3 linked regions of the Xenopus tropicalis genome follow. The protein of the gene in region 2 purifies or fractionates together with the protein of the main gene of each other region. This does not show direct contact. Links are inferred from orthologs where the notes say so. Each region holds a gene or a part of one and is shown on either strand. Other genes may lie near its edges. The genes, in order: adrb2, arrdc3 and wwp1.

Evidence for each region.
Region 1: the proteins of arrdc3 (region 2) and adrb2 purify together in Homo sapiens (affinity purification with western blotting; 6 studies listed by BioGRID and IntAct, with this or other methods). This does not show direct contact. The link is inferred for Xenopus tropicalis from reciprocal best matches to the Homo sapiens genes ARRDC3 and ADRB2.
Region 3: the proteins of arrdc3 (region 2) and wwp1 purify together in Homo sapiens (affinity purification with mass spectrometry; 4 studies listed by BioGRID and IntAct, counting the BioPlex papers as one, with this or other methods). This does not show direct contact. The link is inferred for Xenopus tropicalis from reciprocal best matches to the Homo sapiens genes ARRDC3 and WWP1.

The regions. Positions count from the first base shown.
Region 1 is NC_030679.2:41,024,331-41,035,027, forward strand, and holds adrb2 (beta-2 adrenergic receptor), read right to left. Parts: upstream 5,976-10,697; 5' UTR 5,766-5,975; coding exon 4,506-5,765; 3' UTR 2,775-4,505; downstream 1-2,774. UniProt on the Homo sapiens protein: Beta-adrenergic receptors mediate the catecholamine-induced activation of adenylate cyclase through the action of G proteins. The beta-2-adrenergic receptor binds epinephrine with an approximately 30-fold greater affinity than it does norepinephrine.
Region 2 is NC_030677.2:178,683,922-178,694,434, reverse strand, and holds the start of arrdc3 (arrestin domain-containing protein 3), read right to left. Parts: upstream 6,773-10,513; 5' UTR 6,584-6,772; coding exon 6,304-6,583; intron 4,689-6,303; exon of another isoform or gene 4,018-4,688; intron 3,568-4,017; exon of another isoform or gene 3,336-3,567; intron 2,996-3,335; coding exon 2,914-2,995; intron 2,111-2,913; coding exon 1,963-2,110; intron 1,576-1,962; coding exon 1,473-1,575; intron 1,252-1,472; coding exon 995-1,251; intron 397-994; coding exon 237-396; intron 1-236. UniProt on the Homo sapiens protein: Adapter protein that plays a role in regulating cell-surface expression of adrenergic receptors and probably also other G protein-coupled receptors.
Region 3 is NC_030682.2:125,459,067-125,469,719, reverse strand, and holds the start of wwp1 (NEDD4-like E3 ubiquitin-protein ligase WWP1), read right to left. Parts: upstream 5,606-10,653; 5' UTR 5,526-5,605; intron 1-5,525. UniProt on the Homo sapiens protein: E3 ubiquitin-protein ligase which accepts ubiquitin from an E2 ubiquitin-conjugating enzyme in the form of a thioester and then directly transfers the ubiquitin to targeted substrates.

The sequences.
Region 1 (10,697 bases), on a different chromosome or scaffold from region 2:
AACTCTAATTGGGCAGCTTCAATGACAGGCAATCCACGTGGGTGGGATAAGAAGTACATTTTGAAGAATTGACATAAAAAAAAGTTATTTCAGAGTTCAAAGTCAAACCATTTCACTTCCAAAGTGGTACATTTTCCAAAACAGGGGTGAGCAACCTTCGACCCTCTATATGTTGAAGTACACCACCCAACCACCCCCCTCCCCGGGGTCTGTTAGTGGAATGTAGGATTTGTAGGACTTCAGGCCACCCCTGAAATAAAGTCAATCCTGGTTTAAGGCTGCCACCTCATTCATAGGAAACATGTTTGCTAGCAGTCAGTTAGAACAGATAGTTCCTGGTTGCTTGGAAACCAGTGTAGTCTGCAACATTCATCCTTCTGCAGTGAAGCAATAATTCACCAGATTGCATTTTCTTTGGGTCTTGCTTTTAGCTAAAGCAAAATCTATGATAAGAAGCTAATCTGAAGGAATGCGGATTCTCTGTGGCACCCGTCCTAAACAAACAGAACCCCCCCCCCCCTTGGCCAAGTGCTCCTCGACCTGCTTCTCACCTCTGCTCTGCAGATTCACACTTGCATGCCTTCTGCTTCACATCTCACAGAAACGGATGGTTTGGTTACTATTGTGTTTATGTATCTGTAAGCAGTCGTGCCCTAAGCTGCAGAGCTGCCATATATTTGATCAGGGATTTACTTTATTTACATCAACAGTTTCATGGATTTGCCTTCAAGTAGCCGCAATGCAACAACACACAGGTTTCCCTCTCCTCTGACACTCTCTTCATGGGATTCCCAAATAAATTGGTTTCAGACACATTAAATATAAATTAAATAGGAAAATAACCCCCTTTGACATGAGCTCTTTTGGCAGGGCTTATTTAAAAAATAAACACTATCTGAACTACCCAAATTATATATCACTTCAGGTAAGGAAGGGGTTGAATGACTTTCTAAGGAGGTGGGGTCCCTGTGATTCAGAGACTATGGTGGTTTCCTTTCAGTCTGAGGAATCATGTATGTCTGTGTAAAAAATATAAAACATTTATATTTATATGTGGAAGATTAGATAGTGTATATTCAATTTTTCTGCCCAAATGAACAAGCAGATGTCATAGAAGAGTATTTTTCCCAGTGGTTTTAAATTAAATTGTAAGCATAACTGCAACTGAAAGTGGTATCAGTCTGTGTGTTTATATTCACTTAATAGCCAGCTGATTAAAAGAGCTGGAGCAGACCTGGCTTCTGCCACATTGTTTCAGGAGTCAAAACCATTAATGCAGAGAATACAGTATAAACACACAGAAGTCAGAACCAGAGAACTGAACAGAATAAAGTCATTGCAGAAGTTTCATTAATGTATTTTGGAAAGTTGTTTTCATTATTTACAAAAGAAAACAGTTTTTGGGTGGAGATTCCCTTTAACTGCATTTTCTGTGAGATAATGACAAGTGGCTGGATTTGATAAGCCATTAAATACTTTTTGCCATTTTAGTACCAGTTCTATTAACTCTTAACTCCTTTCCTGCTTGCTTGGAAGTAGTTGGTAACCCAAAAAACGTATGTAAAACATACTTGCCAGGCTGTTAAACTTGCAGCTAAGTGTTAAACTGGCTGAGCTGAATCATTATCTCTCTGATAATACGGAGGGCATGGGTGTCTCAGTTTAGGCAAGGGATTTCCAAATACTGAAAAAGGCTCAGGCTAAGACCCTTCATCAGTAGGTTCTCTCTGGAGAAAAACAATGTTCTGAGAGTTGTCATTCACCAGTATGCGGGCTGCATGCTAGAAATATCAAGTCTAAGTATTTATCTACTACCTACTGCAAATGGCTTCATACCCCCCAGTGTCAGCAATCAAGAGGTAACACAGGTCTAAGTTCTGGCACCCAAGGGACCTCCTTTTTACGTTTTACACTGAATGTGCATGTTATTCCCCAGCTCTGTCATGCATTAATTTCATTATAAGCTTACGAATGCCCTGCCAGCAATCCTATAGCTCTATTTAAACTGCAACTTCCTACAACCCCCAAGAGATGAAAGGGACCATTGGTTCTAGTTCAACAACCACATAAGGGCTACAAGTAAAATCCCTGGAGTAACAAAATGAACACACTTCGGGCCATTTTCACCTATGCAACCTTTCTGCTGGCACACAGAAGTGTGCACCACAATAATCCACTAAATAAGAAAATTCAGGCAATTTTAACTGTGCATTGCACTGAAGGGGCTGACGCTCCCTGTGCTCCCGGCTTGAGTCAGTATGACTTGCACCTGTTCTGGTTCATGTCAGGCTTTGACAGCACAAGGATACTCCGATCCAACCACCAGGGAATGGGTTATTTTCTTTTACTACTTTCTTTAAACAGCCAGCCTAATATGCACTCATTAGACTACTCCATAACACTAAAAATAAATTGCACTATGCAGCAGCTTCCGTAGGAGCCCTGTGACCGCTATAGGAATCTGAGGCTGCTGAGAGTAAATCTTTTCCTAAGTCACTAGTATTTCCTACTCAGCGACCAAACCAACCTAGCGCTTAAGGAATGCCGTGCGTTCCCCTATTGATAACATGTCAAGTAGCATGCACTCTGACATATGGTAACCCTACTGCTGAACATATATTGATCTCCTTTGAGAATCACCTTAAATGCATAAAGGTCAACAGTATTTTGTGATCGCTGAACGGTAAACACACTAATGTTTTAGGCAATTCTTATCTGCAAATCTCTAAAAAACAAGAGAGGGGGTGGGGGAACACACAAACACAAGCCAGATTAATAAATAGCACAATGACCTTTAATAAGAGCAACATACAATACTGTAAGGCTTGGAAATGTGCAAAAGAGCTGATCTGCTAGTGACCCTGTGAGCTGCGCAGAGGAAATGTATGGAACAGACATGCCTTGTGCGATAGGGAGAACTCAGCCTGTCCAGCAGGGCGTATTAAAGTGATAGACCATAATAATTTGTAATGTCCTGTGTCTGTAGCCTATCAACTATTTTGTTTTTATATTCTTATTTATGAATGAGCCTCTGCTTTACTTCCTTCGTCTGTGGTTTCCTAGTTTATGCCTAAACATACCCCATTAAATCTATACTGAGTAGAATCATTGAAGAGACAAGAGGAAACAACCCGCAAGCTTGTCTTTAAGTGCTGCTGAACTACAACTCTCAGAATCCTACCACTGTCATGGGCAACTGCTGAGCACTGTAGTGCAGTCACATCTGGAAAGCCCCATATTTTGCTCATAACCCAGAGATAACTGATTAATTACCCTGACAGGACTTGGTTTCAGCCAGAGATCAGACACTACAGAACAGCAGTAGGAACATCTGTTCTGCCCCATCTAGGAGACAAGGACTCATTTATCTCGCAAATAGGGATCTAGGAGGCTGGGCTCACCGAAAAAACAGATTAGTTTGCCATCAAGAAGGGGATGGGTCCTCCACTCAACTTTGGACTTCACTGCTAAAATTAGATGAACTAAGTTAGACCTTTAACCCTTCTATCCTTAAAATACACTTTTGGTTAGAGGCTCCAGTATACGTGACAGTCACTGCAAATGTCAAATTGCTTATAAAAAGTGCCACTTTCCAACCTGCAACAGAGGGGTTAAAGGGGAATGCAAAGATTGGCACAAACCTAAAAGGGTGGCTGGAAATGTATTGAGTTAGCTCTGCGACTTTTTTTTTTTTTTTTACTGCATTTCCTCCCTGAGAAACCATGAAAAAAAAGAATTTATTTACAGGTGCAAAAGTACACAATGGTGGTAACTATAGCAACTATTCTGATATTATTTTACATGGTTTCACAGCAGCTTGCAAAACACGACCAACCAAAGCTGGTTGCTATAGGTTACTGCAATTGTGCCTTTTTGCACCTATGCTGAATGACCCCCAAGGGTCTCTCCTGGTTGCAACACACAGTTTTCATCAGTCTTATACAGAATATACGTTTTCCTATCTCTCACAACCCAACTTTTGCAATTTCAAAAGTTCAAAATATTAAGCTCAGCACATTAACCCCATCATTACTCAGGAGAGCTATCTCAAGGAAAGTAGAATTAACCCTGTCCCTTCCGCCAACAGCAGCTGTTTTTTGTATTATTAAGGGGTAGAAAAGGGGGGAAAAAGCAAGATTTTTTTTTTTTAAGTTTCAGAATTCTTGAACTTAGAATTCAATTTTTTTTTAAGGGTTTGAGGTAGATTTTTCTTCAGTAAAGTACACAGGGCAGCAACATAAAAATATAAAAGCCATTACATTATAACAAAAGATCTCTTACCTTAATTTAAGAGGAACTGAAAATAGACAGAAATGTACATTTTCTCATAATAAATTTATACATTCTGCAAGACATGGGCACTGCCCTTCTGCAAAATATACATATATAATATACATATAAAAACATTTTCCTTTGTATTATACATTCGGATATCTGGTTGACCCTTGTATTGCAATAATCCAGTTTGTTGTAATAGTTCAAATATTAAAAAAAAATCGACAATCCTATAATAAGCAATCATGCGTGTTATGATTCTTGCCCAGTGGTTCCAAGCTAAAATCTAGAAGAGTACCTTCACAGTTCAAAAGGGAGGGATTGGGAGTTTTCTCCTCTTTAAATAAAACTTCACAAGTCCTGTCTTTAGAATACTGACAAGGTTCTGTGTCTTCGTTGTATGCACTGTTCCCATTGCTCTGGGGGTACCCATTGGCATAGGCTTTGGAGCCCGGTTTCCTTAAGCACAGCAGCTCCTGAAAAGTGTATCTGAAATCTGGGCTCCTGCAGTAGATTAACGGGTTAAAGGCAGAGTTGACATATCCCACCCAGTTCAAGAAGTTGTAAACTTTGACAGGGATAAAGTCTTTGTGCATCACCTGGACAATGTTGACTATAAAAAAGGGGAGCCAACACAAAGTAAAAGTGCCCATTATTATCCCCAAAGTCTTCAGTGCCTTGTGCTCCTTCAACCAAAACTTTGAGGTCCTTTTATTTCCTTGCTTACCATTGGTGTCCTGTTGGTTATTCTGGTTGTGGAACCTTCCCTCGCTTTTGTCTATTTTCTTTAGTTGTTTTTTGGCCTCCTGGAAGACCCTTGCGTAGACAAAAATCATGACCACCAGAGGTAAGTAGAAGGAGATGATGGAAGAGGAGATGGCATAAGCAGGGTTGGTGAAGAAAAAACAACAGGAGGGGTCATCATAGCAATGCAAGGCACTCTCCTCCTCTATCCTATACCAGTGCATGTAGATGGGGAGGAAAGAGGTAAGTGTGGACACCACCCACACCAGCAGGATGACAATCCTGGCTTTGCACTTGGTCAGGAGGCTCTGATACCTGAATGGAGAGGTAATGGCGAAGTACCTATCCACTGCAATGACGCAAAGGGTCTCTATGCTGGCAGTGACGCAAAGGATATCCACTGATGTCCAGAACTCGCACCAGAAGTTATTGAAAACCCAAGTGTCCAGGATGATGGAACTCGCTCCGAAGGGCACCACTATCAGCCCCATCAGCAGGTCCGCACAGGCTAAAGACGTGATGAAGTAGTTGGTGACCGTCTGCAGCCTCTGGAACTTGGCTATGGCAGTGATCACCAACACGTTGCCGAGCACAATCACCAACACGATGCAAGACATGATTATGCCCATGCCCACCATCCACGCATCCCCGGGCTTATCGCTGGCGTTGCTAGTGTTGGAGACGTTGGAGACCAGCTGTTCGAGGGTGCTGTTAGGGTAGGGGCTGGCGGTGACCCGCTGTTCCATAGCTTTGCAGTCCCTTTGACTTTACTTCCACTTGTTAGGAGTCGGTTGGGTGTGACACGCAGCGCTGAAAGTACTCCTGCCCCGCGTATATCCAGCGCATTTAGCCATGGGGGAGGCGGAGTTGCCCGGTGTCGTTCATTTGTGCCCGTCCTGTTTGTGGGGCGTTAGACATGGAACTACCTCTCTCTCCTGAGAGTCTCTTCTGATTCTGGGCTGTGGGCTCGCCTGCTTTCTTTTATTAACACCCGCCCTTACGTCACAACGGGCTCCAGCCAATCCCCGGAGAGCAAGAGCGGGATACCGCGTAACACCGGCTGGTCGCTGCCTTTCTCTTTTCCTTTCGGAAGTTGCCTGCGCTAATAGTTAGCTGCGCTATACTGCGCTATACTGCACGGCGGATCAAACGGTGCCACTTACAGGCTTTAAGCAGGGTGGGCTCGAAGTTGCACGGCAGTGCATCTAATCAGTTGCTGATGTACAAGTACAGCCCCTGGTATCCCCCGAGAGTTCGAATTCTACAGCTACTGGGGCTGACTGGACATTACTGGACTCTTTCTGCGATTGGCAGATGTTTAGCTATGTCCAAAGTTTGATGTTTAGGTACAATTCCCACCATTGATTAGTTGGATAGCTTGTGTTACATATCCCCCTGCTTTAGGGTGAAGACACACAGAGCTACTAGTCGCAGCTTCTTTTTCACAGCTACTAAACGCCAGAAAATACCCTCCCATGGACAATACTGAGAATTGCCTCTGCTAAAACACAGGTACAGCCAATTATCAGTAAATGATCAGCATTGTCTACTTTAGTATATATACTAGTAGCTCTGTGTGTCTTCACCCTTAAGCGTCACATAACCAGCTACTACTTGTATTTTATTTATGATTTATTTCTTGTCATTCTTTTGCCCAGTGTATCTGATATCTGTGCAACACCTATTCTGCATTGCAGAGGCTATTGTGGCACTATGCGCTAATGGGTAAGGGCAGTGAACAGAATAGGAAACAACGTCAATCATTTAAACACTAAAAACAGTCAGAACTGTAATTTATGTACAGAGTTGCAGCTATGAAGGCATGCTGCAACCAGCTAACCCATTCCCAAGGGCAAAGCAATAATCAGAGCAGGGAGGGTGAAGACTATGGTGGCCCCATACTGCTAATTGTTGCACCTCTGCTTTCTTCTAATTGTTGCACTGCAGCCAAGAGCAGAGCCCATGGGCATATACTGTATGTATGGGAAGAAAAGAAGTCGGCAATAAACCTTCGGACTATGTATAGTAATTGTATCTACAGCTGTCATAAAAGATATGTTCAAATTCTTCTTCAGTGCAGAGTAAACTTGCAAAAAGTACAGAGAAAATAGAGCTGCTATATTGTATGTGAGTGTACTGAAATAACTTGCCACCTAGGTAATTATTAAGTGAGAGTTTTGCTTTTGGCACATATTAGTGGTACCAGGGGGGCAAGGGGCTACTTAGATCACCCCATTGCCGTAGTAGCTTTTGTGGTGATGTGGCCCAAAAAACTCACTCGGCAGGCCTTTCAGCTGTTGTTGAACTACAGGTCCCAGAACACTAAAGAATTCCCCCCCGTATTCAACGGTCATTGGGTGCTGGGAGTTTAATAGCAAAAAAAAGGCTCATCTTGCTTTACTCCCCCTACTATAAGCAGCACTTCCTGCCTCCAGTCCGGCTTGGTGGTGGACAAAAGATGGACCCTGGAAGTCACCCTTTTTTGAATCCCCCAAAGCTCTGCCGATAACAACCGATGAGAATCAGCCAGCAGGCAGCTGTAACTTATGTGTACAGTACAATGCTATGGGAATAGCAGGGGGAAAGTGAGTAACTCTTGTTGTAAGTACACATTTAATTAATTTATTGCAATGGCAGGGTTTTTTGGCTCCATTTCAGCCTCCTTACTGTAATGTCTCTGCGTCTTGTACCATGTTGTTTCTCTGTTGCTTTTTACCATTGTGCATAAGATATATACCATTTTAATGTATAAATAAAATATCATAGCCTTCTGTCTTGCATTATCATTTTATATAATGTGGTCTCTATGCCATTTAGTCCATGTGATCCTCTTTAACCAGTGGCAGAACTATTTAGGGGGCAGCAAGTTCAGCCCAGCTTTAATAAGTCAAGGAGGCATACCAAGCAGTGAGAACGGTGGAAGAGTATGTGTAAAAGGCGGAGAGGTGTAAAAGTTTGCATCTGGTTACATTACTGCTATTGACAAGATGGCATTTCTTCCTGCAATAGCCAGTGGCAATTCATATAAAGTGTTTTTTTTTTTATATTCCGAACCTGTAGTAATTAAAATACATGAAAGCCAACTCCCAGACTTATCCAGGGTCTCTGAGAAAAGGGTTAAGAAACCCCAAATTAGTGGATTTGTATGCCAATTAAGAATTTTATCCTGGGTTTGTAAATATACACATGGATCTTCAGTCTGTGAGATTAGGAGGCTTGTAGCCTATCTTTATTACAAATCCCAGAATCCTATAACATCCTGTGGGATTATCAATTCAGCCTTTGATGGAAAACAGCAGGATACAAGTACAGCTTTAGGTGTAACTAGTGAGGCGTTATAGTATTTTACAGCATCATTGCCAACTTTCTACTGGGCAAGTTGGGCAACTGAGTTAAAATAATAAATAAAAATTCCTATGCTTTTTAGGGGCTGGTAACTCCTTGACCTTTGTGACAAGTACAGTACTGTATATCATACCCATTCATAAGGAACTAACATATATCAAACCAGTAAAATGTCCATAGTGAAAGCATTAGATGGTCCTGAGCACAACATTTTAAATGAAGAGGTCAGGAATTAAAAATTACTGATTTCTAAAATAAACTACATTTCCCAACATTCCCTGCCAGTAGAGCAGCGGTTCTTAACCTGTGGGTCGGGACCCCTTTGGGGGTTGAACGACCCTTTCACAGGAGTCGCCTAAGACCATCGGAAAACACATATTTCCGATGGACTTAGGAACCAAGACACCGCTCCTCTATGGTTGGGGGTCTCCACAACATGAGGAACTGTATTAAAGGGTTGAGGCATTAGGAAGGTTGAGAACCACTGCAGTAGAGTGATACGATTGATCTTATAGCATTAGCTAGAAGAGGCTTTATAGCCATGGAGAAAGGTACCTGTGGGATCTACAGTATCTTTTACTTCTGCAATAACAAGGTTGGTAACTGGTGGGGAACGGGTTAAGAACCATACAATAAAACGGTAAGGCTTTCATATTAAAAATGTAGGGTGTACAATACATAGTGCTGAAGTGTGACAAAAAGGTTGCATATGATACTGTAATATTGAGTGTAAATAATACCGAAACATTATTGTACTGGGGAGTTATTTTTTACTTTACCCTTCCCACTTCCTCTTTTAAATACTTTATTCTGCAAACTTAATAGAGAGCAGGAAGTAAGAGAGAAATTTTAAATTGCTTCCTCAATCACAAAGTTAAAAAAAATAGCACAGGCAACGCAGCCAACCATAGGTTCTGGCAAACCCAATGCACAAATGCACAAATATGTTTTCCATTTTAAAAGATCTATAATTCCATTTAGAAAACTGGAAATAATGGGCAGCTTTTTGCTACCCCTGAGAAATAGCTGCCTTGGTCAAGGCCACTTTGCCTTGTGGCAGAAATGGCACTGGATAAATAATTAAAGGGGCACAGTTTCATTTTATTAGTTTTTATATTTGATCATCACATTCAGAAATGTTTTCACTGCTTGTGTTAAGTATTTATAAATATTGTTGAGAATAAGTGCCTACCAGAGTCAGATTGTGCCGCCGGGACACCAGGCAGGGGACCCTGCGGGTGATTAAGGGGGCACGGCGGGGCCCCTGTGGGGCCTCCTGACTGGGCAGTAAATTGCGCAGGTGGAGAAATTGCCCACCATGTGCCATTGCCTTGAAAGTTGATGCAATCTCCTCAGCCTATTTGTACATAAGATGATAAGAGGGTTAGAAGTGCAGGTATGCGATCCATTATCCAGAAAGTTCTGAATTACGGGAAGGCCATCTCCCATAGATTCCATTATACAGATATCTTTTCTCTCTGTAATAATAAAACAGATCCAAATTATGGAAAAATCCCTTATCCGGAAAACCCCAGGTCCCAAGCATTCTGGATAATGGGTCCCATACCTGTATATAGTTTTTTTTTTTTTTTTGATGCTTGCATTTGTGCAAAAAGTTTTTCCATGTCTTTTTTCATTTGTGCTTTTTAAGTTTGGATCTTTTAATAAATTACTAGGTATTTGTGGCTTTGGTGGAAATGAATTTAGTTGTGGTATAAAAAAACTCAAAAACCGCTATCCGAAACAGATTGGACAAATATCTGGGACAACGCAAAAAAAATGTCAACCTGTGTCAGACAAAAAGAACACATATACAAAATCCTGATGTTCTGGTATCACACCCCCGAAAAACTAAATAAGCTTTTTCCGGACCATTCTCCAAACTGCTGGAGAGGCTGCGGATCTCAGGGCTCCCTACAACACATTTTTTGGGAATGCCCCATAATCCAGCCCATCTGGACAGAAATAGCAAGCTTACTGGGCCGACTGTTTTCACGTGAGGTTCCCCTAGACCCTTCTACAATGTTACTGGGGAAACCATTCCCCAAAATGCGTAAGTGTGGCCAAGCATTAATCAACCAAATACTTACCGCAACCAGATTGGCCATCGCAGCCAAATGGAAATCACCAATTGCACCCTCCATGACTGAAATAATCAACCGAGTGAACTCCAACAGGAAATTTGAATACGGAATTGCCACTCTACACAACAACACCCCTCAACACCTCAAAATCTGGGACATTTGGGAACTAAATGGCCTGGCCACCTAGCCTCATCAAGCTTCACAAGGGACACCCGCCCACCCGCCTATATCCCCCCCAAGTAGCAGACC
Region 2 (10,513 bases):
ACCAATGATTTTATGCCCAATTGTAAGACTTTAAAGCTGCCAACTTTAGCATTGCATTGGGTGGTGTTGGTATGGATCACATTCAACGAAGAGAGGCTAAAACAATGGTACTAACAGCAGAGGATAGCTTAATAGGAGCCGAGAATGCTGTTACTTCTACAAATAGATTACTGTATAGCACATAAAAAAAGTTTCTCAAAAAATAATTTAGTCTTTAAAAAAAGATGGGAAATTACCTTCAGGTCTTTCTGGCAATGTCAAACCAAGCCAATTATTTATGCTGTACTGGCTGCTCACACTGGATGTCCGGCTGCCAAATGGATGCAGTGGGATAGTGCCAATTACCAATGGTAAATTAAGGAATAAATCCATAGCCCCTGGAATATCCACATATACCTGCAATTTAAAAATCATATCTTGATTATTTTCTATTCCCAGTCATTTTAGATGCCTAAAAATCATATGAAATAATATCACATGCTGACATGCATTTGTCAGTCCTGCCTGCTAGTCTGAGCATTAGGCTGAAACTGGAGAAAATATTAAAAGCTACTTGTATCGTGTCCACCCTGACAATAACAGACTTTACAATTTTACTTGAACTCTGTATTCTCTAACAGGAAAGCTGGTTGGTGACAGGAGTTCAATTTCCTAGAATGTCGATAATGGACTAGCCTTCTATAGTAAATATTTGCTATTACAATGCAGAGTTCACTTCTGTATAAAACCCAAAACTCTTTAGCTCCTGTATTGGTCAGTGTATGTATGTAATCTGTATGTGCAATATATATACCTTTCTGTTTTTCAGTGCGGTGAAATATGTTGTGGAATTATTTTATTTTTGACCCTTGTGGATCCTTCGAGTGGCTATGGGCCCATGTTGTTTGCTGTCTATGAATCGAGTAGGCGAGCAACACAAGGCAAATGTATAAAATTCATGATATTAAACACCTTACATTTAACCTAATTTTTCTTTTTAAGTAACTGAACGTACCATAAGAGAATATTCCACACGGATTATGCTACAGTCAATGATAGAAGGGGAAATGGGTGGAATTTTCAGCAGCTTGCCATTCCAAGTCTCTGTTTTCCCTGACGACAAGGACTCTCCTCTCAAGTTGGCAACAAGTTGCTTTACTTCCTTCATTTTTCCTTTGGCATAAAATGTCTGAGTTTGATAAAGGGCTGCCTTTGGTACCACCATGCGAGAAGAACAATTCTCAATCTCTGCGAAGATCTGAATTGACTCACCTTGAAAGGAATGAGAAAAGTGGACAGCCATGAGGTACAGAAAACGCGCAACTACAAGTGAGTATGGGTGGGGTTAAGAAATCCCTACATCGCTACATTTAGCAAAATAAGGGATGTTAACAACCCCTAGTACATAATGATAGTAGTAATAAGACAGCAACAAAAACATTACCATAAATCTTTTTTTTTTTTTTTTTTAAACATTCTTATTTTAAACCTACCTGGTGTGTAGCCCTTTCTTTCTATTTTGGCACTTAAGGATATTGGACCTGAGGTACATAACCAGCAACACAGGGTCTTTTCTTTTGTGCCCGCTTGGGGAGCCTAAAATAAAAGAAAACAAAACTGGTAAATTACAAATGGCACAAACACAATTACAAAGGCAATATGTCTTGAGTTAAAAGTGTATTTTCCATTTGCAATGTATTTAATTGGTAGAAAAGCTTCAGTGCATTCCTACTTTCCATTCCAGCATTCATTTATAAGTAAGGGAGGCCATATTGAACTCTACAAAGAATATGATATTGTATCCTATTTACAGTGACATGGGGATGCTTAGTTGTGGTCTACCTAGAATGTCTTTAACAAGGCAAACATTCAGGACTTTATGCCTTTCAATGCTGGCCAAAACCTATTTCTGTAAGTTTTCTATACATATTCTAGCAATATCTTAAGCTAGCCTTTGAAAAAGAGTCCTAAAGACATTCTTACCAGTAATGAAGGAGTGTTGATATCTATGTGTTCAAAGACTGTGAATTCCTTCTTTAATTTTACTGGTAGAAGCCAGGGTCTGTGCAATTCCGCTTTCACCCAGTAGCGCACACTGCCATGTCTGCCTTCAAATGAGGTAGCAAGTGGTCTGTGCAGGAGAGGAAAGCAAAATCAAGATATTGCCAAACAAATGTAACCTCTTACAGTTTAGTGTTTAGCCAACTAAACTCAAAAAAAAAATGGAGAAACTACATTCCTGTGATTAATCAGTTTTACATGTATCCACTTCCCTGGCTCTACCTATACCAATCAGAAATCCTACACTACACCGATGAGCCCCAATACAGGTGAAACTGGTTGGGATGATAATCAGCAGGTATTATATTTTAAAACCCAATACATAGACAATAGCTTATTCTACGCAAATTTTTTTTTTTTTAGAGCAAAGCTGGATTTCTTTCCCAAGATTCCCTCTGCTTTTCAAATCCTTAAACACCTACAAAACACCCCAAGTGCCACTAGCACTGCAATTAAAGGGGCAGTTCACCTTTAAATTGATGTTAAGTATGTTATGGAGTGGCCTCTTCTTAGCAACTTTTCAGCCGATCTTCATTTTTTAATTATTTGCTTTCATCTGAAGAAAAATAAACTACGGCCCTTAAGGCTACAGCTGTATTGCTTTTGTTCCTTTTCATTCTATTCAGACTCTCTTCTATAATCTTCCAAACAACTACCTGGTTGCTAGGGTTAACTAGACCCCAGCACACTGGAAAACTGCTAGACAAAAGCCTATACATTAAAAAAAATAATAATTGAATTGTCATACTCAAAAGTTAATATAAAGGTGAACTACCCCTTTGATTCTTCAAAAAATTCTTTCATTTATGATTTACACTGAATCAGGGGCTTGTTTTAATTGGGGAGGAGTTGACAAAGCTGTGTATAACTTACATTTGTGGAAGCTCAAAGCTAAATGCATATTCATGCCTTCCTGAATGAATAGTGGTTAGTCCTTCTTCTGAATTATCGTCATCTAGAAGAGAAATATACATACATGTAACAACACATTAATCAGTATACCACTATTAAAGTACAGTATCTATGGCCTGTTTAAGGGTGAAGACACATGGAGCTACTAGTAGCAGCTACTTGTCATGGCTACTAAAACAGACAATATTTATCATTTACTGATAATTGTCTCTATACGTGTTATACCAGAGGCAATTCTCAGTTAGGTCTATGGCAGGATATTTTCTGGCATTTAGTGGCCGTGACAAATAGCCGCTACTAGTAGCTTCATGTGTCTTCACCCTTAATGAAGAAGGTAAACGAAACTGCTTCCTTTTGTGGCCTACATATCCCAGTATACATACCAGAACAATATAGCAATGAATATGTGTGAAACAGAAGGTGACTGACAGAGACAGCTTATAGCCAGGGGAAACAATAAGTCACCTCGTTGGCAGAACAAGTGCTCCTAAGCAAACCAATAAAACCAGTCCCTCTGGGAAACAATAAAATCCTAAATTCCGTGACCGCACGGGGAAGGTGAGATCTCAGGGAGGGGCCTGCTTATTTGAAGTAAACAACTTGACCTTCCCCACTCCTTGGCACACACCTGGGAGATACTGTATCTGCTCATGGGTGTGTGAGCGCTGAGTCACATTCTGTTGGTTGGCATCCTGGGCAGGATCCAGTTTAGCAAATTTACAATTATATATATATATTTGTAATTGAGTGAAGGCTGAGCTGTAGAGCACCACCTACAGTTGCGGCTTTTGACTATATAGGGGATTGTGGGTTGTAGTTGATGATAAAACAAGAATTAAGGTTAATACTTGTTTGAATGAATACCTAGGGAAAGCTGACCGAAATACAAAGGGGAGCAGCTGCTAAAACAAATAAATAAATGTACATTATAGTAAATCTGAGGTATATTATAGCAAGTCTATAGGTAGCACAACGTGATTTGGTAATTTAAGTCGGTTTGCTTGACTGAATATAATTTGATATGTTTCTCTTCTTAATGGAGCAGCACTTTTCCCCTTGCCTTACTTTCTTCCTTTGTGCCAGCTCAGCAATGTGCTGCAAAGTGAGCAGGCGAGAGAGAGGCAGCCGCACAGTGTGGTAAACAAGTGTGGAACTGTCAATCACAAGCAGACTCCAGCAGGAGAGGACCGGCCTGAACCGGTGCGAGCAGAACCTCAGCCAGTCCCTCATATGCATAGCTATTACGTAGCTCAGCCGCAGAGAGCGCAGCCTAACCCATGTCTCCGCCCACCTCCTCCCCCCGCCCCCAGCTTCCGGGTGTACAGGAGACCACGCTGGATTCTTGCTGAGAGCGGTACTACGTGTGTAGCCAGCACTAGCAATGCCCAGAGCGGTACTACGTGTGTAGCCAGCACTAGCAATGCCCAGAGCGGTACTACGTGTGTAGCCAGCACTACCAATGCCCAGAGCGGTACTACGTGTGTAGCCAGCACTAGCAATGCCCAGAGCGGTACTACGTGTGTAGCCAGCACTACCAATGCCCAGAGCGGTACTACGTGTGTAGCCAGCACTAGCAATGCCCAGAGCGATACTACGTGTGTAGCCAGCACTAGCAATGCTTAGGACCGGTATAATAAATGGCTTACACAGCTGTAAGCACTGCTCCCTAGCATAGTATAAAGCATTATGTGATGAAAGTATCTCTCTGGAGACCAGTGGGCTGCTAATGAACTATAAGTCACCCTGTAAGTATAGAGCATAAGGATAAGGCTCAATCACACGCACGCCTATTCCACACACAGTCCCTGCAACACAATAAAGGCAGCTGCGCTAATAAAGCCATGAGCTTGATACTCTATCACCGCCCCCTGCTCTAGCGCCAGCGGACTAGCAGCGTCAGGGAAGGCTAAAACGTCACGGGCACGCCCATCTCACTCCACCTGTTCCCTGGCGCCCTAAGCAACAAGGCCAGCCAATCGCATTCAGCGGCCGTTGTCTTGACAACAGCCTAACAAACTGCTCTGGGCCAATCGAATGCGAGTTGGGCGCGGCACTGATTTCCTTCCTCCTCCCTCACCAAGCAAGCTAGTGTGGCGCTGCACCTAACTGTAACTGTTAACCTGTAAGTTGCTGAGGTAGAATGGCACAGCTCGCAGCACACTACAATGAAACAATGCCTTGGGCGCTTTGCTAGTCACTGTGTGAGGCTGGACACCTGTTGGTGCATTACTGAGCTCTGAGACCGGCTTACTTAGCGCCTAGTAGCATTGTGCAGTAGAGCCTGCCAGTACTCTGGCTCCTTACACTGTTCCACTAATACACAGCACATACTTTATTTTCCTACGAGCCCTTACTGACCTGGAATTGAGAGCCCAACCCTGTGTATTGCATGGAGTCCGGCAACGTTCACTTGCTCAGTGACAGCACCTCTATACCACTAAGTCATGGAGGCTAGCACCACATATTGTACAGAGAGCCGCTCACTTCTTGCCCAAACACTGCCCTCAGCACTACTCTAGCACTACTCATTGCAATGCAGCACTGGCAAGTAACGCTGCCTTGGAATGGTATCACCGGGCAGCCATATAGAGTTGCAAGCCATTCATGGAACAGCAATGCCAGCTCCTTAGCGTGATACTAACGTTATGAGGTGCAATAACGATGGAAAATATAGACATTTGTACTGAATGAAGGTGCAAAGGATGCGCCATGCATGAGTGGGGTGGGTACCCACATATCGCCCAGCAGGGATTGAGGGGTACACTGCTGTTATTCAGTGCTTCTTTCCTTTGGAAGCGATTCAGCCTGCTCACCACCTGACTCCCCATCAGCCAATCCCGTGCAAGCAGCGCAGCTCCCCCCTCCCACTCACTTCTCTCTCCACTGACACCACTAGCCGAAAACAGGATTGAACCGCTTCTAACAAAGGGTGGTGTAAACTTCAGAAAAACAAGATGATTCCTTCACTTCCCCCACCCTGCTCGCAATGACTCTTCAACTCTCCCCATGCCCCCCCCCCCATGCCCAATCACCCCCATATTCACTGGGCTCCCCAACAGGCTGCCCGGGCTCTGCGGCACACACCTTCCAGTTAGGCTGGCGAGCTGGGCACAGCCATGGGAGCCCACAGCAGCTGTATATACAGCCACACAATGCAAACAAATGGGCAATGACCGTTCCATAAGTTCAATAACAAAGCACTATGCTGATGCTGTAGAACTACAACTCCCAAGCCCCTCAGCTAAATATAAAGGCTACAACTTCACACAAATAAATGGCTGCCTGACTGATAACCAATACACCCCAATATCAGGTACCCCCAGCACCCCATAAAAGCCCCAGCATCCTTACCTCTCTCATGCCCAATCAGGATGTCTTTATGACTGAAATACTCCACTTCTTCAGTATAATTCTGGGTATAGGCAGTGTTGGAGCCAGCGTTCCTTGATTCCGTCCATCTGACTTTTGCATGCCCCCTGGCATGGATCCTCAGGGATTTCACCCGAATTTCCCCCGTCACTTCCAGATTGACCCTTCCTGAGACTGCATCCCCGCTGGAATAGACGGGGACGTGGCTGCCATTGAGGCAGTCAAAGCTTATGGTCAAACTCTTCACCTTCCCCAGCACCATGATTGTAAAAGGGGGCTATAAAAATATTCTGGGGGGGAGACAAAAGTTTCCGATTTCACATCAATGGCGATGTTGCCAGAGCACTGGAGTATGCATTTGCCGTGCAGAGACTGCAGGCAGGCTCAGTGCTCGCCCAGCGGCCAGCTCATCGGGAAGAACAGGTAGGAGAAGTAACAGCAGCAGCTGCTGTCACAGTGCTCTCTTCTATGGTCTCTTTACAAAGACGCCTGTCTGCAGTGTGCCGGCTCACTTATGTGCGGCTTTGGGAAAAACAAGCTCTCTGCGCATGCGCGCCCCTCTGCCACTCTTCCCTCACTCACTCACTCTCCGCTAGCCCTCTAATATAGGGTTCTCTTATTCAAGAGACAACTTCGTAGGTCAGGACGTGTCCTTTTAGTTCCTATTCCTTTGTTTATGCATCCAACGTAGGCAGCTACATCCGAAAGGTAAACGGGTGATTTGTGAGGCCTTTGGGAAACATCAAAAAGTGTTGGAGTGATGCAGTCGGTGCGGTGCTGCAGTCACTTCTGAAGCATTCTGATCCTGTGCCCCTTCCCAGGGCTTATATAGGGAATCGTTTCCCCCTCCATTGGAAAATATAAGGAAGTGAATATTCCGAGGTCAACGTTGCCTCTAATTCCGTCTTTGCCCCATCATCATAATAAATATGTGTATAACTGAAACTTATTGTTCACTGACGTTTACCCTTCCTCCCTTCACTGCTACCACACGAATATTTGTGCTTCAAGTTCCAGCACAATGTATAATGTGTATATACAGTGGATATAAAAAGTCTACACACCCCTGGTAAAATGTCAGGTTCCTGTGCTGTACAACAATGAGACAAAGATAAATCATTTTAGAAATTTTTCCACCTTTAATGTGCCCTATAAACTGTACCACTCAATTGAAAAACAAACAAATCTTTTAGGGGGAGGGAAGAAAACCAAAAAAACTAAAATAATGTGGTTGCATAAGTGTGCACACCCATAAACTAATACTTTGTTAAAGCACCTTTTGATTTTATTGCAGCACTCAGTCTTTTTGGGTATGAGTCTATCAGCATGGCACGTTTTGACTTGCAAGATTTGCCCACTCTTCTTTGCAGAAACACTCCAAATCTGTCAGATTGCAAGGGCATCTCCTGTGCACAGCCCTCTTCAGATCAACCCACAGATTTTCAATCGGATTCAGGTCTGGGCTCTGGCTGGGCCATTCCAAAACTTTAATCTTCCGGTGAAGCCATTCCTTTGTTGATTTGGATGTATGCTTTGGGTCGTTGTCATGCTGAAAGATGAAGTTCCTCCTCATGTTCAGCTTTCTAGCAGAAGCCTGAGGGTTTTGTGCCAATATTGACTGGTATTTGGAACTGTTCATAATTCCCTCTATCTTAACTAAGGCCCCAGTTCCAGCTGAAGAAAAACAGCCCCATGATGCTGCCACCACCATGCTTCACTGTGGGTATGGTGTTCTTTTGGTGATGTGCAGTATTGTTTTTGTCCCAAACATATTTTTTGGAATTATGGCCAAAAAGTTCAACCTTGGTTTCATCAGACCATAACACCTTTTCCCACATGCTTTTGGGAGACTTCAGATGTGTTTTTGCAAAATGTAGCCTGACTTGGATGTTTTTCTTCGTAAGAAAAGAAATACGGGAGATTGTTGTCACATGTACCACACAGCCAGTACTTGCCAAATATTCTTGCAGCTCCTTTAATGTTGCTGTAGGCCTCTTGGTAGCCTCCCTGACCAGTTTTCTTCTCGTCTTTTCATCAATTTTGGAGGGACGTCCAGTTCTTGGTAATTCACTGTTGTGCCATATTTCTCCCTTTGATGATGACTGTCTTCACTGTGTTCCATGGTATATCTAATGCCTTGGAAATTCTTCTGTACCTTCTCCTGACTGATATCATTTAACAATGAGATCCCTCTGATGCTTTGGAAGCTCTCTGTGGACCATGGCTTTTGCTGTGGGATGCGACTAAAAAAATGTCAGGAAAGATCAACTAGAGCAGCTGAACTTTATTTGGGGTTAATCAGAGGCACTTTAAATGATGGCAGGTGTATGCTGACTCCTATTTAACATGATTTTGTAATGTGATTCCTTAATTCTGAACACAGCTACATCTCCAGTTAGAAGAGGGTGTGCACACTTATGGAACCACATTATTTTAGTTGTTTTGGTTTTCTTCCCTCCCCCTAAAAGATTTCAGTTTGTTTTTCAATTGAGTGGTACATTTTATAGGTCACATTAAAGGTGGAAAAAGTTCTGAAATGATTTATCTTTGTCTCATTTTTGTACGGCACAGGAACCTGACATTTTATCAGGGGTGTGTAGACTTTTTATATCCACTGTACATAGATATTGTATATATATTGTGCATATTGTTTATAGCACTATAATGCAAGCTTATTGTAAGTATTGTTCTGCCTCCCCTAGGCAGAACAATACTTACAATAAGCTTGTATGTGCCAACCGGCTTAGGGTTTGCAGTTAATGAGTAGCAGAGGACTGTGCTCTGTATCACTGTTCCCCATCATTTGGGCACTACATCAATTCCTTGGTGCAGTCCTCTCCCAACCGTTCCCCATAGTACCTTTTTTACCGATGCTAAAAATACCGGACAGACGGCAACCCTAACCATACAAGCTACTATACATTTAAAAAGAAAACACGGTCATTATCGCATTCACTATTCCTTATAACAGGACATATAGATAATAATATAAATGCATGTAACGCCTTCATTTTACTACAAATATGCCACCCTGTTATATTAGCTTCTAGGACGCTTGTAAATACAGTAAAGGTAAGAAGGTTATCAGACAGTTTTAAGTTGGCCATACACACACCGATAAAATCATACAAAACCCAGTTTGTACTATTGTTGGACCGTGTGTGGGCCCAGAATTATCGTCCCAAAAATGTTTGTATTATGACAATCAGTTGCTTAGTTGATTGGCCAGGTTAGAAAAATTCAGTCGGATAACAATAAAATCTGAGCATGTATTGTGTAAATGAAGATATCCTTGGGGGAACTACAGTGGAATTGCATTTGGATTGTGCCATTTAAACATACAACCAATATCCAAACATTCATTGGAAGACTAAAATCTGAACTTGTACTTGAGCTTTAGGTGTCAACTATTTCAAGTTTGCAATATTTTATAAAATCTGTGGTCCCTATGGTAGAAAATTCTAAATGTGTTTTTTATAATGTATAATGTATAGGGATTTGAAGTACAAGCACTGTTATCCAGAATGCTCTGGACCTGGGGTTTTCTGGATAAGGGGTCTTACCATAATTTAGCTCTCCATACAAGTCTACTAAAATCATGCAGCTTAGTAACTATCTATTATTTTGAAATGATTTCCTTTTTAATACAACATTTTCTTTGTACTTGATGATAACTGAGCTGCATAACTCAATGCTAGTGGCAAAACAATCATGTTTAAATGTTTTAAATAGATTTAAGGTACAATGAACCAAATGATAGAAAAAAAACGCTTTTATGGAAAACCACGGGCCCCAAACCTTCTGGGTACTAGATCTCATACCTGTATAATATGCTTACACTTTTGATTATATATGGGTGGTAGAGCACTAGCCATTCTACAGCTGTGCCTACACCTTATCATATTTTCAGGCAGTGGTTCACATCAAAGCCAACCTTAACAAATAATTCTTATCATTATGGTTCAGAGGGTACTCTAATTTTCCACTTAGTCTGTTACTGTAACAGATTAATGTAATAAAAGTTCCAAAGCTGCCACGGAGTTAGTAAACCATAAACTAATTAGCAGGTAGCATATGCCAATCACCACTCTTGGGTGATGTGCCTTGCCAAGTAAAATGGGGCCCCAATAAAAAAAAAAAAAAAAAAAAGCTCCTTGCATGCAAGGTTAGACCATAGCTACTGCCCAACTTT
Region 3 (10,653 bases), on a different chromosome or scaffold from region 2:
CAAGGTCAGTGTAAAAAAAGACAAAGTTATCAAGGTCAGCCCTTCCAAAATACTGAGCAAACTATTGCACAGTCTATTCCAGTTCTTTTGCTGGCAATAAAAAAAAATCTTAATGGCAAGAATACAAGATACGCACTGCTGCCTGGAGAGGTCAATGCCTGAATGAGCTATTACAGGGGCTAGATGAGCCACTGATCAGTAAGGCCTATGGCACAGAGTTTGTTCAGAAAAATGCCTTTTACTGCACACACAAGGTGGGTTTCGGTCAGAAACTGCTTTCAGACCCCTGCTCCTTCTATACTTACAACACTGTAAACAATTAGCTTTTGGGAAAGTTCTTGCAAGCTGAACTGGAAGCAAGCTGTTTATAGCAAACATATATGTTAACAAGTAACCCTCAACAACTGTAGAACTGCTGCCTGCAGGCCATTCCATAGCACCGAAGAACTACTCGCATTGTGTGCATTGTGGCAAAGAACAAAATATGTACACAGAAATTTTCAAAGATGCTGGATTTTTATCTGCCATCTGTTTACTCCATAAGGACCAATGAAAAAGCACCACTCCATGGTACTGGGGAACAACTTGGAAATGCAGTATGGGAACATATGCCTAGGGCAGGGGTGGGCAAACTTTTTGGCTCACGGGCCACATTTACTCACCCCCGGGCCGGACCGGGCCAGGGCGGGCCCCCTTCTCTCTTTAATTCTGGCACGCCAATGACACCAAGTCTCGCGTGATGAGACTTGGCGTCGTCGGCGGGCCGGATTAAAAAGGCAAAGGGGCCGGATGTGGCCCGCGGGCCGTAGTTTGCCCACCCCTGGCCTAGGGTGATTGAAAGGTGCAGAAGATGGTTATGAGGTCCATTTGCCAGACAACACTATGTACAGTTCTACCCAACTATATAACCAATGATATCTGTGAAGTTTTGACCTTAATGACATTCTATAGTACAGGTATGGGATCCATTATCCAAAAACCCGCTATCCAGAAAGTTCAGAATTACAGAAAGACCATCTCCCTTAGACTCCATTAGAAGCAAATAATTCAATAGGTGTGTGCCAGGCCTGTCCAAAGATTTTTTTGTGGGGAGGCCCAGTGTGGCGTTATTATGCCACTGATTGTTTAAAAGTATTTGCACAATTCGTTTCAGGTGAAGCAGGAAATAAGGGGTGGCTTTAAATGCGTGATACCATATTCCAAGCTACAAAAAATTGAAATCCCCCTAAAACTGTTTGCAAAAGCTTTACAGAAATTAAGGGAACTGTAATGGTTTTTTTTTTTCTTACCAAGACTTTTGTACAGTACAGTACTTCTGTTTACATTGCCTCATCCAAGCCTTATCTCTTTCACTAATCTGGCCATATACATGAAGATTCTCTCATTTGGCAAGGTTGGCCTGCCTGGCCATAGCAATTGGAGGGACTAATACATGGGTACTACATAAGTTGCCAAATCAGTGTAAAGGGGCTGAATCGCTATCTTAAATCTGCCTGTGTATGCCCACCTTAAGGTTAGCGTCCCATAAGGCATTGTCTCTGTCAGTGAGTTATCACCAATCCACTACAATTCTCATTTTAACTCAAAAAATACTTAAGGCTGATGCCACACGTGGCGTTTTTACGCGGCGTTTTTTCTCAGTCTAAAAACGCTGCACAAGCCACACATGGCGTTTTTCAGCCTAGAACTGGTGACGTAAGCAAATCCCGTTGCCATGGTGCTAATAGTGCGAAATAGCAAAAAACGCCGCGTATTTCCGCTAGGTCTGGCAGCTGCCTTTGCGTATCCATAGGAATAGCTTGCTTTGCAAGTACTGGCGTATTTCAGCCAACGCTTGAAAAATCCGTGCTTAGGCGTTTTCTAGCGTATTTCCGCTTTGTGTGGTTTGCTGCGCGTCTTTTCAAGCTATTTCTATGGATGATGATATCAGGCGTTTTTCAGCCGCCGAGAGAATTAGAAAATACGCAGCGTAAAAACGCCACGTGTGGCATCAGCCTAAGTGTTCATTTTCAGCCCGAAATCTGTGCTGTTTTTGAGCACTGACAAGCGATGGCTAGTGCTTATTGAACAGGGCAGATCAGCCACAGGCATTCCAACAAACAGTGTAACAGATGTTTAACAGTCATTCACTATGTAATTCTGTTCTGTCTTGTGGGACACTGTCTCCAATGTCTCTCTCTCATAAAAATACTGAAAAAAAATATGTAAGTTTGCATATTTTGTTCTAGGTGGACTCAGTAATTCTGGTATTCTTCATATGCTTTGCCCACTGTCTCCTTGTTATCCAATATAACCTACTTGATAAGGACATATACACTGACTGTTTGGAATAAGTTACCACAAAGGGGTTTAGCCATTGTTAGAATGTAGTAATAAGACCAGTTTCAGACAGTATTCCCAAGACTCCTTGTGGGAGTGTATGAGGATGGGCTGTTCATTTATTTACCAAACTAAAGTTTCAATCAACTGGGGACAAAGGTTTTTAATAGTATTTTCAGCACAAATGGCCAAAACTAAATACATTTTTATCCACAATGAACCAACCAACCAACATAACCTTTCTTCCTTTCAAAATAACAGTGATACATGATCAGTAAACACATTTGTCATGACATGGCACACATTTACAAGTCATATTAGGTTAAGTAACCTGTTGAAGGCCCTGAGAAGGCTGGTGACCATTAATACAACTTCTAGGGCAAAGTACTACTATATATTTTTCGTTATTTATTTTATTCAATAATCTGACAATGGGGGGGGGTAGTATGGCAAGAATGAACAACTTGGACAAGCTTTATGGAAATGATATAGAAATAACACCTATGGAAAGTTTGAAATAAAGGTGTCCAACTTTTTTACCTATAGAAAACATTTAAATAAAAAGAGTTGGCAGCAACGCAAGCATGAAAAAAGTTCCAAGGGGGTGCCAAATAATGGCATATTTGGCTCTGTGTGGCAGTACACATGGCCTTTGTGCCTCCAAGTAAGAAATTCAAAAATGAACACCTGCTTTGAGGCCACTGGAAGCAATATCAAAGGGATTAGGGGAGCAACATGGTTGGGAAACACTGGTAGCTAAAGTACGATGCACTTGGTCCAAAGTAAATTTCACAAAAGATAAACAAAAGACAACGGCATACCTGGCGGGGAGTGCTTGGACAAAAAAAGGGTAGACTAAGCAGAGAGAATGCAATTAAGGGTGAAGACACAATGACCTACTACCGGTAGTAGCAGCTACTTGTCATGGCTACTAAAATGGACAATGCTGATCATTTACTGATAATTGTCTCTACATGTGTTTTAGCAGAGGCAATTCTCAGTATTGTCTATGGCAGGGGTAGCTGCTACTAAGTAGCTCTGTGTGTCTTCACCCTAAAGGTGCACAGGCGCAAGACAACACTGAGTTGGCAAAAAAGGTGGAGTGGCAGTATACCCCCCTTGCACAGCACAAGCTCAATACACAGGGCTTGTGCTGAACATACTTTGTTTTGGAGTGCAAAGTGACCTTTTGTAGTTTGCTTTACTTTTGCCTCTATTTGGGTAAGAGTCTTTACTTTTGCATCCTTTACTATATTTGCATAAGGGAGTACCCTCTATTAATTGTTGTTTTCTGAACATACTTTTTTTGCCTATTGTTTTAATCATGAAAAATCTCAATATGGACATTACATGGACACTGAGAAGACACCACAGAGGTGGCACATAAATGGATACAGATGGCAAGGAGGGTGAAGCTAAATGTGAGCATTACACATGGAGACAAGAAAGACACCACAGAGGTGGGAAATACATGGATACACTTGGCAAGGAGAGTGAAGCTAAATGTGAGCATTACACATGGAGACAAGGAAGACAAAACAGAGGTGGCACATACATGGATACACTTGGCAAGGAGGGTGAAGCTAAATGTGGGCATTACACATGGAGACAAGAAAGACACCACAGAGGTGGCACATACATGGATACACTTGGCAAGGAGATTGCAGCTAAATGTGAAGAGTGCACAAAGACACAAAGAAGACACCACAGAGGTGGCACATACATGGATACACTTGGCAAGGAGGGTGAAGCTAAATGAGAGCATTACACATAGAGACAAGGAAGACACCACAGAGGTGGCACATACATGGATACACTTGGCAAGGAGAGTGAAGCTAAATGTGGGCATTACACATAGAGACAAGGAAGACACCAGAGGTGGCACATACATGGATACACTTGGCAAGGAGAGTGAAGCTAAATGTGGGCAATACACATAGAGACAAGGAAGACACCACAGAGGTGGCACATACATGGATACACTTGGCAAGGAGGGTGAAGCTAAATGAGAGCATTACACATAGAGACAAGGAAGACACCACAGAGGTGGCACATACATGGATACACTTGGCAAGGAGGGTGAAGCTAAATGTGAAGAGTGCACAAAGACAAAAGGAAGACACCACAGAGGTGGCACATACATGGATACACTTGGCAAGGAGGGTGAAGCTAAATGTGGGCATTACACATGGAGACAAGGAAGACACCACAGAGGTGGCACATACATGGATACACTTGGCAAGGAGGGTGAAGCTAAATGTGAAGAGTGCACAAAGACACAAGGAAGACACCACAGAGGTGGCACATACATGGATACACTTGGCAAGGAGGGTGAAGCTAAATGTGGGCATTACACATGGAGACAAGGAAGACACCACAGAGGTGGCACATACATGGATACACTTGGCAAGGAGGGTGAAGCTAAATGTGGGCATTACACATGGAGACAAGGAAGACACCACAGAGGTGGCACATACATGGATACACTTGGCAAGGAGGGTGAAGCTAAATGTGAAGAGTGCACAAAGACACAAGGAAGACACCACAGAGGTGGCACATACATGGATACACTTGGCAAGGAGAGTGAAGCTAAATGTGAGCATTACACATGGAGACAAGGAAGACACAACAGAGGTGGGAAATACATGGATACACTTGGCAAGGAGAGTGAAGCTAAATGTGAGCATTACACATGGAGACAAGGAAGACACAAAAGAAGTAGCACATACATGGATACACTTGGCAAGGAGGCTGCTGCTATACACTATACATGGATATGGGCAGATTTGGCAGCGGCACTAGGAGGGTACAGGGTTCAAGTCATATGATGAATGAAGTCAGGCTAGCATTAGCCCACCTGTGACACAATAACCAGAAGCCCCTGATGAAAGGAAACAGCTAGCGAGATATCCGGTGGCCCTTAAGGCCATAGAGATGTGAGCGAGTACTGAGACCGGAGAATAGCGGATCGCAACAAACCACGACAATGAAAGGCTTGAGAGAAAAACGCAAAGCGGGGAATGGGATCACCGACAGCAGCGCAAAGCACTAGTGGTATTGCCCGTAGCTAATGCCAGGCGGAGACAAGGAATAGTAGCCTAGGGGCAAGGAGCAGAACAAGCAGTGTGTGGCACCGACATGCCCTCATACACTGCTGCGGGAAACCTATCGACTTCACCAACCAGCTGACACAGCTGCCAACATACCGGGGCGGATGTCCCGTCCTCGGCCTCCCCTCCCCTCCCCGGGCCGCCTCTTCCTCCTTCCGAGCTCCCGTCCGATTCACACGCTGCCAGCTCCGGGCACCACTGCGGCCGTCTCACAGAGCTTCCCCGGACTCCGCCCCCTCGCGTCATCAAACTCCCGCCCAGGAAACGTCACGTGTCTCCCACCTACCAGCAATAACACGGGGCGTGGCCATGTCGTGACAGGATTGGGACAAGCTTTGCGTGACGTCACCTATATAATTCTCTGGCTAAACCCGCATTAATCTGTATGAGTTTAGTTTGATGCTCCTCTTTAGACTAGGCCAGGAGGGACATGTTAAAGTTGTTGTTAAAGTTTAAATCAACTTTTTGTGTTTCAGGCAGCATTAGTTTATGGCTTTTTACTGCTCCAAGTGTATCAGCAGGGACACTTTCAGGGTTGCTATTCTACCAGTGGTAAAACACATGCTAAAGCTGGGACCAGTATAACAGTGCCATTGCGTGTCATTGCACTGATCCACCCTAATTGTTCATCCCTTTTCAGACCAGAAGCTGCCCTCTGCCCAACATGCCAATTCTCTTCTGCTCATATTATCACCCTGGGCCTTTACAGCATCACCCCACCCCCCTTGTCACCCCAGCCCAGCAGGTTAAATCATTTTTAAAAGTTGCAAACCCTATGCACTTGCCATTAGAAGCAGTAAGGGTAAAGACTCCAGCACCCCACTTGGCACTGGCACTTAGGGTGAAGACACATGGAGCTACTAGTAGCAGCTACTTGTCACAGCTGCAAAAATAGACAATGCTGATCATTTACTGATAACTGTCTCTACATGTGTTTTAGCAGAGGCAATTCTCAGTATTGTCTGTGGCAGGGGATTTTCTGGCGTTTAGTAGCTGTGACAAGTAGCTGCTACTAAGTAGCTCTGTGTGTCTTCACCCTAACAGGTAGTAGTCAAAACACACCATGTTGTCTGTACTAAGATCTAAATAAGTCTTGGCATTACAAATAAACTGAGGCTGAGACAGTCCTCTAACAACCTCAAATAAAGCACCGGTCTATGCAATTCACAGCAGTCACTACGGGTTTTGCCAGAATATTTGCCATTCCAGCACTACCCCAAGTGCCATTAGCCTTAAAGTGATACTGGCGCTAAGGGCTGTGACAGACGGGAAGATTAGTCGCCGCGTGACAAATCTCCCTTGTTGCGGGCGACTAATCACCCCGATATGCCATCCCACCGGCTTGAATGTAAATCGCCAGTGGTATGGCATATGCGGCGACGCGATTTCCCGAAATCGCACAAGTTTCCTCTCAAGGCAACTTCCGCAGTTTTCGGAAATCGCAACGCCGCATATGCCATACCACTGGCGATTTACATTCAAGCCTGTATGATGGCATATCAGAGAGATTAGTCGCCCGCAACAAGGGAGATTTGTCACGGGCAACTAATCTCCCCGTCTACCACGGCCCTAAGTAACTGTTACTTGGCAGTCCCCTCACAGAGGAACATGGGGGATCAGATAGTAGGTAATGTAATGTAAAAGTATTGGGCAAATACTTTTAAGATAATGAATGATAGATGTAAAAAAAGATTTAATTTCTGGTGTCAGTATCACTTTAATGATAAACAACCAGTACTATTGATAAGGGATTGTGGGCTATAAGCAAAAACAGACCCCACATGTTTCAGGTCAACCTGCACATCACAACAAGAGGGGGTGTCATTTTTATTAGCTCCAGATTTTTGTGTGAGGGAATCAACTGTGCTATAGTGCAACATATTCAACGCTTTTGAAACAAACCGGCATATTTTGTTGCTAAGCCTTTGCCTCATATGGCATGTGTGCTAAAGGGGCTGTGGAGAGTGTTGCATTTAGAGGATGGGATTAGAAAAGTATGTTCCTTACCCCACGCTGGCTATCATCTTCTTAAAATAATGCACCAACCTGTAGTAGTTTTCACCTAAACATTGTGCCAACATATTGTTCTGGTGTCCCAGAACAAAATAGCAAAGAAACAGGATAAATAATACAATCACCTCATGTGTGGTTCATTTACTAATAGGCAGAGGCGGGCCAAGTGGGCCAGGCACCCTAGGCGACCCAGCCAGCCACCTTGGCCCCACCACTTCCCCCTCCCCGCGCATGCACAAAAATGCGCACACACCAGGACGCCCCAGAGGGGGGAGCGTGGCATGCAAGGCGCGCAGATGCAGTGCAGGGAGGGAGCACATGGGAAATCAAATGTGGGGGAAAGCGATCCTGGACTAGGGGTGGCAGCAGAGGTACCTGCCTAGCGCCCCCTCACACCCTAGGCAGGCAGGGCCACCATCAGAAACTTTGGGACCCAGCAAAAGTTATTTATATGGGGCCCCCCATGAACACAAGCACACAGTACCAACATTTTAGATACGCCCCTTGTGTGCACAATATAAACAGCTGTTTATATAAAGAGTTCCATTGATTAATGTCGTAAGAAGTCATTCAGTTTATAGGGGGGCAGTGGAGTTTGCCCTAAGTTTAACCCCTTCCCACCTACCTGCCCCTGCTCTGTGCTGTCATCACTTGATATGTTACTTAAGTTTTTGCATAAATTACGTAAACTGCGTAAGCTTAGGTGCCCAATGATATTGCTTTGGGGTCCAATAACCAGTCATTCCCCTGTTGCAAAATTCATGAAGAATAGTAGATAGGTCCCAATGTAAACAGCTGATGTTACTCTATAATAAGCAGTTCATATAAATAGTTAAAATTAACAATGAATGTGCTAATAGGGGGGCAGTGGAATTACCTTAAGTATTTGCGGAAGTTACGTAAAGTGCATAAATTTTGGCGTAACCTTATGCGTAACTTAGTACTTTGTGTAATCTTCGCACCACAACCAGGCCCCTTTACAAAAGAAGATTTCATAGGGCCCGGCACAACTGTACCCCCTCTTCCCAACCTGATGGCGGCCCTGTAGGCAGGTACCTCTTCTGCCTACCCCTAGTTCCGGCCCTGCTAATGGCAGCTGTGCACTAGTGCAGTAACTCATAGCGACTAATGAAAAGTTTGGTTTCATTATTCTTCCTGCAACTTGCTGAACATAGCCAATCACTGATTGGTTGCTATGAGTTACTGTCTAGGTGCAGACTTGTCCAATGTTAATAAATATACCCCACAAATGAGTGTGATTTTATTATTACACAATATTATTATTATTACTATGCCACATTATATATATATATATGTATATATATATACAGTATATATATATATATATCATCATTTATTTATATAGCGCCAGCAAATTACTCAGTGCTTTACATTAATTTATAATGAACAGGGATCTTACAATAATTTGATGAACAAGTGTTTACAGAATAAGAATAGGATCAGAGGCCCTACTTGCAAGAGCTGATTACCCTTTTCACTGTAATAATAAAACAGCACCCTGCACTCAATGGTATTTAAGCTGCGTGAATCCGTTTTGGTGGCAAAACAATCCTATTGGGTTTATTTCATGTTTACATATTTTGAACAGATTCGGATCACCATACCTTAAAGGAACAGTAACACCAAAAAATGAAAGTGTATAAAAGTAACTAAAATATATAAACTAAAATATGCTGCTGCCCTGCACTGGTAAAAGTTGTGTGTTTACTTCAGAAAGTCTACTATAATTTATATAAATAAGCTGCTATGTAGCCATGGAGGCAGCCATTCAAAGGAGAAAAGGCACAGGTTACATAGCAGATAACAGATAAACACTATTGTATTCTACAGAACATATTTGTTATCTGCAATGTAACCTGTGCCTTTTCTCCTTTTTTCCAGCTTGAATGGCTGCCCCCATGGCTACACAGCAGCTTATTACAACCCGGATTCCAAAAAAGTTGGGGCACTAAACAAATTGTGAATAAAAACTGAACGCAATGATTTGGAGGTGCCAACTTCTAATATTTTATTCAGAATAGAACATAAATCACGGAACAAAAGTTTAAACTGAGAAAATGTACCATTTTAAGGGAAAAATATGTTGATTCAGAATTTCATGGTGTCAACAAATCCCAAAAAAGTTGGGACAAGTAGCAATAAGAGGCTGGAAAAAGTAAATTTGAGCATAACGAAGAGCTGGAAGACCAAATAACACTAATTAGGTCAATTGGCAACATGATTGGGTATAAAAAGAGCTTCTCAGAGTGGCAGTGTCTCTCAGAAGCCAAAATGGGTAGAGGATCACCAATTCCCACAATGTTGCGCAGAAAGATAGTGGAGCAATATCAGAAAAGTGTTACCCAGCGAAAAATTGCAAAGATTTTGCATCTATCATCATCAACTGTGCATAACATCATCCGAAGATTCAGAGAATCTGGAACAATCTCTGTACGTAAGGGTCAAAGCCGTAAAACCATACTGGATGCCCGTGATCTCCGGGCCCTTAAACGACACTGCACCACAAACAGGAACAGTGAACACAATTGTGTCAGTGAACACAATCCACCGTGCCATCCTCCGTTGCCAGCTGAAACTCTACAGTGCAAAGAAGAAGCCATTTCTAAGCAAGATCCACAAGCTCAGGCGTTTTCACTGGGCCAGGGATCATTTAAAATGGAGTGTGGCAAAATGGAAGACTGTTCTGTGGTCAGACGAGTCACGATTCATGATTCTTTTTGGAAATCTGGGACACCATGTCATGCGGACCAAAGAGGACAAGGACAACCCAAGTTGTTATCAACGCTCAGTTCAGAAGCCTGCATCTCTGATGGTATGGGGTTGCATGAGTGCGTGTGGCATGGGCAGCTTGCATGTCTGGAAAGGCAGCATCAATGCATCAAAAATATATTCAGGTTCTAGAACAACATATGCTCCCATCCAGACGTCATCTCTTTCAGGGAAGACCCTGCATTTTTCAACAAGATAATGCCAGACCACATTCTGCATCAATCACAACATCATGGCTGCGTAGGAGAAGGATCCGGGTACTGAAATGGCCAGTCTGCAGTCCAGGTCTTTCACCTATAGAGAACATTTGGCGCATCATAAAGAGGAAGGTGCGACAAAGAAGGCCCAAGATGATTGAACAGTTAGAGGCCTGTATTAGACAAGAATGGGAGAGCATTCCTATTCCTAAACTTGAGAAACT